3 linked regions of the Tribolium castaneum genome follow. The main gene of each other region encodes a partner of the protein of the gene in region 2 in a complex. Links are inferred from orthologs where the notes say so. Each region holds a gene or a part of one and is shown on either strand. Other genes may lie near its edges. The genes, in order: Mfap1, Prp38 and zinc finger matrin-type protein 2.

The links.
Region 1: the proteins of Prp38 (region 2) and Mfap1 are in contact, whole or in part, in a crystal structure (PDB 5F5S), measured with the Homo sapiens proteins. The link is inferred for Tribolium castaneum from reciprocal best matches to the Homo sapiens genes PRPF38A and MFAP1. Residues at the interface, in NP_116253.2 of Homo sapiens: Tyr124, Asn125, Tyr127, Lys129, His143, Asp145, Glu146, Asp149, His153, Tyr169, Val170, Glu172; in NP_005917.2 of Homo sapiens: Glu275, Tyr276, Trp279, Arg282, Glu283, Arg286, Arg289, Asp290, Arg294, Leu297, Glu298, Lys301.
Region 3: Prp38 (region 2) and zinc finger matrin-type protein 2 share a complex: the UniProt entries of both Homo sapiens proteins name them as parts of the spliceosome B complex. The link is inferred for Tribolium castaneum from reciprocal best matches to the Homo sapiens genes PRPF38A and ZMAT2.

What each region holds. Positions count from the first base shown.
Region 1 is NC_087397.1:4,122,252-4,126,508, reverse strand, and holds Mfap1 (microfibrillar-associated protein 1), read right to left. Parts: upstream 2,711-4,257; 5' UTR 2,592-2,710; coding exon 2,522-2,591; intron 2,415-2,521; coding exon 1,153-2,414; 3' UTR 685-1,152; downstream 1-684. Other genes in the region: Dcr-2 (Dicer-2), read left to right, coding at 1-487, 534-684. UniProt on the Homo sapiens protein: Involved in pre-mRNA splicing as a component of the spliceosome.
Region 2 is NC_087396.1:19,988,152-19,991,370, forward strand, and holds Prp38 (pre-mRNA-splicing factor 38), read right to left. Parts: upstream 1,685-3,219; 5' UTR 1,519-1,684; coding exon 1,051-1,518; intron 1,005-1,050; coding exon 609-1,004; 3' UTR 556-608; downstream 1-555. Other genes in the region: vacuolar fusion protein MON1 homolog, read left to right, coding at 1-473. UniProt on the Homo sapiens protein: Involved in pre-mRNA splicing as a component of the spliceosome.
Region 3 is NC_087395.1:20,716,782-20,719,793, reverse strand, and holds zinc finger matrin-type protein 2, read right to left. Parts: upstream 1,431-3,012; 5' UTR 1,314-1,430; coding exon 714-1,313; 3' UTR 665-713; coding exon of another isoform or gene 599-664; 3' UTR 557-598; downstream 1-556. Other genes in the region: uncharacterized protein LOC656218, read left to right, coding at 359-551, 599-664. UniProt on the Homo sapiens protein: Involved in pre-mRNA splicing as a component of the spliceosome.

The sequences.
Region 1 (4,257 bases), on a different chromosome or scaffold from region 2:
TTGGTGATGCTGTGCTTGATTTCCTCATCACGTGTTATATTTTCGAACATTGTGGGCATTTGGAGCCGGGTCAAGTGACCGATTTGCGGTCATCCCTTGTCAACAATAACACGTTCGCAAGCCTTGTTGTCCGATGCGGGTTTCACAAGTTTTTGCTCATGATGAATTCGAATTTGCAAGGTCATATTGACAAGTTTGCCGATTACCTTGCTTCAAAAAATTACGTGATCGACGATGAAGTTCTGATTTTGTTGGAGGAGGATGAGATGAATATCGCCGAGTACGTCGATGTGCCTAAAGTTTTGGGTGATATTTTCGAAGCCCTTGCTGGCGCAATTTATCTAGATAGCAATAAGGATTTGAAGACTGTTTGGAGGGTGTTTTACAAGATTATCTGGCGCGAAATTGATCTTTTTAGCAAGAATGTGCCAAAAAATGTCATCAGGAGATTGTACGAGTGCCATACTGTTTACCCTCCGCAATTTAGGTAAGTTGTGTTGCGTTTGAGCCTTGATTTATTTTTTCTTTCACAGTAAAGCGTTGGAAGTTGGTAATCAAAAGACTATGGTTTCTTTAGACTTTATGTGTGAAGGTAGAAAGAAACGAGTTCATGGGTTTGGAACGAACAAAATCTTGGCTAAAAGGGCCGCTGCCAAAATTGCTCTTCGTGCTTTAAAGTTGTAATTAACGCACGAAGTCACAATGCGCTTATATTGATTCAGTTACTCGCTAGGATTGTTTGAAAAATGCTGTTTTCCATTGTTCAACTATATACCGTCAGTTAAATTCATTCGCTTTGATACCTATCACAAAAATGGTGAATTTAACTCACGCTGATAATTAAGTAGGAGAATTTTTAAATTACAGCCAACCTTTAATTTGTCATTAGGTGGTTCCAAAAATAATTCGTTTTCAAATTAAAACTGTTTCAAGTTAACCACTCAACCGCATTTTAAAACTGACTGGTTAACATAAAACTGTTTAATTTAAAAACTGTTGCGAACTTTAGTCTATACTTTATGATGATGTTAATTTACTTTGTATATTGCTTGAAGCTTGTATGAAAGTGTGATTTCCCTATTACATTGTTCTTTAATTGATGAATAAAAATATATATTTTTTGCATCTAAGTCTAGTGGTTATTACACCTTACTACTGCGTTTTCCTTTTTTTCAACGAGGGTTTTTCAAAGACTTGCTTGACGCCCCCTGCTTGTGTCGAGTGAAATTTGAGATTTTGCGAGGTTTCACTTGACCAAGGTGAATCGAAATGAGTTGTGTCTTGATCCACCAAATGTGTGTACTTCGTTCGTCCAGACCGTCCGAAATTTTTGACTTGCATAACTTTCGGCAAAATAGTTTTATCGAAGTGATCTTCCAGAGTTGCTTGTGCGAAATCTCTCTTGAAAACCTCGTCCTCCTTATCAAGATAGAACGCACCACGGTGGTAATATTTCTGCAAGAATTTGTACTTCCCCTTGATGGCTTTGTTTGTGACTTGTTTGGGGTTTAGTCTCAGCTCAAGCCTTCTCTCTTCTTCCGTCATGTTCCTCAATCGTTCGACTTCAAGTCGCTCTTTTTCAATAGCTTCGCGTTCTTCGCGATCTCTTTTGATTCGCTTCAACTCCCTTAGTTTCCAAGCTTCGTATTCAATTTCGTCGTTTTCATCGTCTGTGCAAACGTCGTTAAGGTTGGGTTCGTTATTTTCTTTATCTTTCTGTTGCTGTTCCTTCCTGATTGTTTCCTCAACAAGACGTAGCGTTTGTCGCCGCCTTTCTTCCGCATTTCTCACAGCTTCCAATTCTTGCTGCTTCTGCTTCTGTACCTCCTTTTCTTTTTCTATGATCGTGATCCTGTCTTTCTTTCTTACAAAAATCGGTTTTAATCTGGGGCCAGTCTCCTCCTCCGAATCTGTGTACTCTTCATACTCTGACGATTCTTCCGACGACTCCGACTTTTCTTCTTCTTTCACCATAAACTCCTCTTCCTGCTTTTCCATCATGCGTTTTTTCATCATTTCTCTGCGTTTCTCGATTTCGCTATCGCTAAGCTCCACTTCGGACTCATCATCGTCAGGAGCCGCCTCCAGTGTGTGTTTATGTTCGGGTAAATTAATTTGTTCCTTTTCGGATTCTTCATCAGACGATTCCAACACTTCTGGCTCCACAACGTGACGGCGGCGTTCTGGCCTCACTTCAGTTTCAACTTCTGCGATTTTCAGACGACGCAAACGGGGGTCATTCAGTTCGTCATCGCTGCGTGAAGGCTCCGGCGTTGGGGGCTGTTGGGGCTGATTGCGACGCTCCAGGAAATCGTCGTCGTCGCTGTCGCTGCTCGAACGCGCGTCTTGGGCATAATCGGGCTTCTTTCCAGACACGTAGCGGTGCACCTTCACCTTTTGCATCGAAATTTCGCCTGGAAATAGGCGGAAACGGCTCAGAAGGCATTTTTATTTGTTACAATTTTTTTATTAATTTTTGACAATGAGGTTATAGCCGTCATAGGTAAGAAAGATATTTTACCTTTTTCGTTGCGAACGGGAACCGCACCCGCAGTACTCTGGATGCCATAATAGGGCTGGGGGTTCATCATTGTGAAAATCGACTATTGAAAGTCGTTTTTAATTCTAAAATAAACGAAAATTGTTTTTGTGCCACAACTTTACATTTGACAGTTGACAACACAGGTTGACAAGTGACAAGCATAGAATTGAAAAATAATCAATGAATTATAAAAATAAAATCAACCGGTTCGAGAATTTTTTTGATAAATGAACCAAAAAAAAATTTTGTTCGTAACTGATTTAAACTCAGCGCAGAGACTTGATTGCAAACATAAATAAATAAGGTGTAATTTTGGTTGTATAATAATCAAACCAATATATTTTTTATAATAATCGCAATAATTAATACAGAATCTATGGATTTTGCAACTTAGAATTTTATTATATTGTATTATCTATTGGTTTTTATATGTTAAAACTATATCGTGTTTCTTTCTAAATGATACGTGTAGAAAATGTGTTCCTTTTATCAAACAAATTACAAAAAATTGTGACTTTTATTGTTTAAATTGGTAATAAAGAGTAAACGTTTTTTTTTGTTTATACGTTTCATTCGAAAGTTATTTGGATTGTTTAAACCTGTGGGTAAAAAAAGTCGAGGGCCACCAACGTAAGAAACCGAAATGCAAATTAGCTGTTGCCGTTGGGTTGGCAATACCACCTGTTGATGCTGAATCAAGTTAAATCTACGAAACGCAAGCGTGGAAGAAGACGCGGCGAAGCTGTGTTATTATAATTTTTACGCGATTGTGCCAAAATATTCCAACATTATGAACAAATAGAGTGGTTGCGGGTGTATTTTCTGTGTTGTGTGCATTTTATGAGTTACAATAATTGGATTACAAACGGCAACACAACTTGTACCAAGTGGTAAGTGTGATGGAAAGAACCGTCTTTGAAACCGTATTTTCGGTTATAAACCATCCACCGGTAACCAGCGTCTGGTTTACCGTTTTGGTAAAGCATTTTCGAGTTGGCTGGTCTTGGCTGGCCTCGATGGCAGCGAGTTGAAGCGAGTGTCCATTTGAAAAACCGCTGAAAAATCGAATAAATGGGCTATAATTTGCGTAATTGAAGCCAATGCCGGGATTGTTATTGTCAAGTGCGGATAAAAACAGCAAAATAGGCGCGGCAAATTCTTGTTTCTTGTATGTCAGCACGATCAAGAAGTCTGTGTGGAGTCTGACGTTTAGGCAGGGCATGCTGCGATGCTATTATGCAAAGTATACCAAGAATCACTGTCTATGGGGCTACCAAAGTGTTATTTATCTTTCGGCCTGCAGACGATGACGTCGAGATGGATGTGATGGGAATGGGTCAACGACACCCGGAATGCCCCCCTTTTCTTTCCCGGAGTTTTCCGGCGATTTTTTCGGGTCCGGAGACGACGTGTCAAAGGTCTACCGGTTATTAGAGACGCGGATGGAATTCATTTAAATGTATTATCGGAGATCGCTCAGAATCAGGTTTTCTGCTGGTGTTTGCTGAGCGATATCTGGGTCATTAATTGTATTTATTTGCCAATTTATAAAAACAAAACAAGGAGGACACTACAGGGAATCAACTGGGTTTTATTACTCGTTAACTGACACCGCTATGCAAAAATTGTGAAAACGCAGTTGACGTCATTTCCCATAAACTCGAAGGTGAAGTAGTTTTACTAACATTTCACAAATAATTGAATCGCATTTTACC
Region 2 (3,219 bases):
CGGTGGAAAGGGACGTATTTTTTGCCCTAAGTGAGGCGAAACAACGCATAGTGGAAAAACTGCGACGCAGCAACTGCTTAGAAGCAATCAATGAGTCGCTGAGTGCGAAAGAAGAAACTTGCATTGTTGCGGGTTTCCCCGAACTTAGGCACTATTTGTACAAATGCAAAAGTACAGCACAGTTCTACCAACCAAGCTTGACCCCACCGTACACCAAATATAACGAGAGACTAACAAAGTTGTACAAACGGGCGCATAACTTGTTGCATTGCTCGACGAGGCCGCTAAAGTTGTTATTTGAGAAAAACTCAGACGAGGCGATTTTGGCGTGGGATACGAGAGGTTTTGAGCTTTATGTAGTTTTCGAGCCCTTGATTGACACAAACAGTGCGATTAACTCAGTGGGGCGGCTGCTGAACTGGATTAAGAAAAGGGAGGAGAAGTTGTTTCATCTCAATGCGCCCACTTTTTGAGCCATTTGATTTGTATATATTATAAATATGTAAATTTTGTGGAAATCTAAGGTATAGGCTTAATCTGTGATATTCACAATCCTAAACTTGTTGATGTATTTAATTATTGATTGTATAAAACGATGTATTGAAAAATCAGTGGTGTCTGTCTCGCTCCCGTTTCCTGTCTTTATCCTTACGATCTCGCTCTTTTTCGCGGTCTTTCTCCCGGTCCTTGCGCTCCTTCTCCCTGTCTCTTCTCTCCCTATCGCGCTCCTTCTCCCGGTCGCGGTCCCTCTCCTTGTCCTTCTCCTTCTTGTGGCGTTCCTTACTCCGACTGCGATGCCTTTCTCTGGATCTGCTGCGTTCCCGCTTCCTCTCCCTTTCTTTCTTCTCTTTGGGCTTTTCTTCAACCAACTCGTACTTGTTTTCTTCCTCAAGTTCAATCTCTTCGTCCAAGTCGTCTTCAAGGGCCGAGATCTTGGCTTCGAGTTCGTTGCTTTCTTCCAAAACAATGCGTTTTTGAATGCGTGGCAAAATAACATCACAAACCTTAAAAATTAATTTTACTATCTACCGTAACAAAAAAAACACGTACTCGTTCCTCTCGTAACAATTCGTCAATAAACTCGTCCATGTGTACAATTTCAAACTGCGCTTGGCGATTTTGTCGCCGCAACTTCCTGTTGTCGTTGTACAAAGGCTCAAGATATTTGTAACAGTCTAAGGACGACCCTGTGAGTCTCATGTAGAAAGCACCGAGGGCTCTGACGTATTTAAACTCCTCGTTTTTGATGAATTCAACTACAATGTCTTTCTCTGGTTGAATTTGTAGCATTTTTAGTGTCAAACATAAAAATGGTGTTGGCTTTATATTGCCACCATAAACACCACCCACAAATCGTAATTCCATTGCCTTGTCTACTAAAAGCTCTGCAGTGAGGGCAAAACATTCCTCCTTCCAGTATTTAGAGTCATAAATTCGCGATCTGATGATCTTTTCAACCAGATACTGGGGATTTGTGCCATGGATTGATTTGGCATCTTTTACGGTCCTATTTGCCATAATTGGCCTAATTTAATTTGTAAACTCACTAACGCACCTTATGCACAACTGAATTCGACAGAAATGCACAGTTTATCAATAAATTCTAAGAAATTGTTGACGCTTGTAGTAAACACAAAGTGAGGTTAAAAATGGTTCGCTCTTATCAGACTTTTTGCTTTGCATTGTGAAAAAAATTACAGACAAATAATACTGTGTGAATAATCCAATTAGGAAATACAGGCTAAGGTTATACATTACAAAATTAAACAATAGTACACGTATGAAACAATTTAGTTCTTCAATAATAAACAAGTTTCACGTTTCCCGAATTTCTCATAAAAACTTATTTGCTAATATCGTCTAGTCCCCAGGCGTGACTCGCGGGTGGGAATCCCACAAAAAGTGCCAACCTTTGGTAACTTTGGTTATTACCACCAGACACCATTCTAATTTAAACATGAACAAACGCTCATAATTTAATAAATAGTATTTATGCAAGTAGAAAATTATTAACGCATCCAAATGAGCGTATCGATGGTATTGTTAAAGATGTAAAATTGCTTTTTGGGGGATTGGGTGATTCAAACACTTGCGATCGTTTTAAAAACTTTATTGATGACATTGAGACAGTTAGGCATTAGCTTTATTTGTCTATTTTATGTTTGTTGAGAAGTATATTATAAATTTAGTGTCTATTTACTTATTACTTAACACGTTCACCACCTCGAAGTGGAGTAAAATTGAAAATCAACTGCTGTAGAAAGTCTTGCAATGTTTGTATTGTGGAAAACAGACAATAACAGAATGAGTGAATACAATAACAATAACAGTGAAACACAGGCAGCAAACGTGTGGACTATATACATAAGTTATTTTTCGAAGAATTTTTTGTTTTTATATTTTTTTAGATTGTTTAAGCCCGATAAACATTCCAACTAACTTAAAAAGTGGGCGTGAATATTTATTTCCAATGATTTAAGTTTTTTATTTATAATATACGTTTGTAATACAATATAAAATAATGCTCCTAACACACTCGTTTTTCTCATTTTTGTTTAGGTACAAGTTTCCAGAATTGCAGTTTTCGTATATATCGTATATTAATAACAAAATAATAAATACTTATCAAATAAAATTTTAACTATTTACAATTTATCCCTTAAAAATATTAAATTCGTTAAAATATTTGCAAATTTTTGTATACATGACGAATCCAACACATCCTAAGATTTCAGTCCATTGGATCACAAAGTTTTACACTCAACTATGCTAGAATTTTGTTTCTAATCAGTCGGACATAAGCAACAAAACCAAAAGAAGCACAAGAAATACACTGAACATAAAATGTCACACGCATGTTATTGTTCCACATGAGAATGATGTTTAGATGTGGTTACATGAATCACCTAATGACCAAAATGCTGTACAAGACAGTTGGCACTATCTAAATATAACAAGATTTAGGCCGAACTTCCTAACAAGAAAAATCGGGGGGAATAATGGCATGACTGCAATATTTTCGCTCGCAGAAAAGCCGCTTCCACCCGTGATAAAATAAAACTAAACGAATTTCACTTTTGAGTATTTATTAATAACAAAATGAGAGGTCGTACAAAATAATTTAATTAACAAAATAGAGTAACAGTATTGCAATCAGCCATTACATTATATAAACATAAAAAATCTAAAACATTTTTTTCTAAATTAAAAAAAGTTTTC
Region 3 (3,012 bases), on a different chromosome or scaffold from region 2:
ATTTCATTGGTTTATTTGTAAGTGGTCGATATGGAATTTAGTAAAATTCATTTTTACAAAAAATAAAGATATTTTCACACCACACGCCACTGCGTTTTAACGCGATTACATCGAAAAGTTCGTTACGAACTTTGAAAAAATCGCCAAATTAGCCAAAAATATTGTTTTTACTTTTTTCAAGCCTTCAACAAGTTTTGGAGCTAAAAAGTTGAAAATATGCAATCAAGTTTGGTGCAACGGCAACTTAATAAAATATAATTAACATTTGAATTTAATAGTACTTACATGTTACCTTTGAGTGTTACGAAACTTATTTAACATCATGGGCTTCTTTGATCAAATATTTAATTGTTTTCAGGGCTTACAAAGACATAGCTGACTGTTATTACATCAAAACTGCGAAAGTGTGTGGAAACAGCGCTGCAGCAACAACTAAAGAACTTCTACAGTCGATAATTGACAGTATTCTCACAATAAGCTGTGACAATGTGAAGGAGACGCCCAAAGTCAAGGACCCAATGCCTGAGGAATATATGAAAAAAGAAAATAAGGCAACTTGTTCCTTCACATTTATTTCATTTACAATTATTTTTTACAGGCTGACACAATGATTCTTCCAACTGTACTTCACTTACTAGTTAGCATAATATTGATTTTTATTTAAACTTCAACAAATCTAAATTATTGTAATAAAGGTATTGAAAGACATTTTGCTACTTTTTTTTAGACGATCCAAAACCTGCAAATCCCATAATGCTAGCAAGCTCACTTGCTTGTTCAGATGTTTCTTCCAACATTTCCTCAGCTTTTCGCTTCTCTTTCCTTTTCTCCCTCCTGTATTCGCGTAGCTTTTCCTCTTCTTCGGCAATTTCCTGCATGCGAGCTGCCATATCGTAATCTTTTTTCTTCTCCTCCATTTTCCGCTTGTTTTGGTCAAACCTTCGTTTAACTGCGTCCAGACTGCTGCGTTCGATCCGCATCGACATTCCCAAGTTTCGTTGATGCTTTTTGCCATTGATGTGATCCAAAAAGTTGATTGAATCTTTAACAACACAGTCGCAGACGTTGCAGTAGTAGCCCCCCGATTGTGATGTTGGTGTGTTTTTGTTTATTACAATGCTTTTGCCAAGCTTTGAATCCAGGTCTACTTTATACTCTCGGGTTTTTAGCATTTCACGTTTCACCGGGGGGCCTTTCTTTTTCTTGGTTTCTTCTTCGAGGCGCTCGATTTCTTCCCTCTTGCGCTCCTCGGCTAACCTCTCGTATTCGTCCCTGTCCCATTTTCGGCGGTGGTCGTCTGGTCGCATAGTCATTTCTGATGATTTTTCTTTAGCAGGATCACAATCAATTAATAAAAACTCAAGTACAATAACAGTGTTGACAAACTGCAGTACACATTGACAGCTGTCAAATTTTCAAGGTTAGGTTATGTTGCTAACTTCATAAGAATAAAGGTTCATTTTCTAATAAATTGCGAATTTGCGCCATTCAGGATGTTTATATATATCATTAGATTATTACAATTGAATTCATTAAACTCATAGAATACTTAATAGATTTTTTAATTTTTTGGTTATTCGACTCTGCTATTACATCTAACGAAGTTAGCTGGGTTACCTGTTTAAAAATTTAAGATGGGAAAAGATCAAAAAAATCCCGTAATCAAGACAATTAGTTATTTATTTCAATTTTTTTATTAATTTTTAAAATCTAATTCACAGAATCTTTCGTTTGCAATTTTTCAGTCTGTGGCTGTTCAAACTACCACTACGTTATGAGTTAGTTATAAGTTATAAATACCAAAGAAAAAGTGGATAACTCAAAAAATTTAAATTTTTAACAAATTATTATTTTGGGTAGGCAACACAATATTCAAATGGCAGCCTACGCAACTAATTATACAGAGTGTTCCAAGTTTTATGGTCGAAGCAAAAATTAATATTCTAGTCGAGTACAAATAAATTAAATTAATTTAAATTACAAAAAATCAAATTGAATTTAATTCAAAATTAAACTAATTCAAATTAAGTAGCATTAAATACATTGACAAATGTCGAGTTAACCGCGATTAAAATTTAATTGCAATTAAAATGTTTTGTAAACCGGCGCTCTTAGTCTAGACAATTAATTACGCTACCATTTGATATTTTGAATGTGGTCAAGTATTAATTGCTGTGAAACATTATAAACCAATTTTTTAAAATAAAGTTCAAGGTGTATTTTCTATTATATGATAAAATTCTTTCAATATTTAAAACCGTAACTGCTAACATAGAATTATACGATTGTTGCCAACTTTTGAGTAATATTATTATTATTACATTATCAGAAAATTCTGATGTGGGCTCTATTCCACAAACGACTTTTACACTTTGCGCTTGCACGTTCCCGAACACCTTTATGTTCCACCAACAACAGTATTTTGCACACTTAGCAAAAAATATACTTAGCAAAAATACTTCTTTTTACAAAAATATGCCAAAACAAATGCAAAGATTGGTGGAAGACATTAACTTTAAAATTTGCAATTTATGCAAAATGCAAAGTTGCAAAAAATTTTAGTGGAACAAGGTGATATTTAGTGATTAAGGTGATATTAAAAAAAATATCAATTTTAAAAAGCCGATTATGGCGAAACTATAAAGATTGTAATCAAAATCTATTTGATACAATATTACATGCAGCGTTGAGCAAAAGTATTAAATCAAGCGTTTTGTGCGTAAACTATGTACCTTACAAAAAATACTAATTAGTACATCATTAACTACTTTAAAAATGTAACGATTTAAAAAAAAAATTTTGTTCGAAATAATTTTTCAAAATTTCAAAAGTTAAGTAAACCTTACATTATTCAGTTAAACGAAATAAAAGGTAGGGCAAAAGTGATGTCGCATATTTGCGGTCACATATTTTATGTACTCAACGTCAGCATCAGTAGCGCGCAATAGTTAATAATTTATTTGTCCGTGTAGGTTAGAGAACATACGTTTTTTAAAACTGATTCTTATGCAA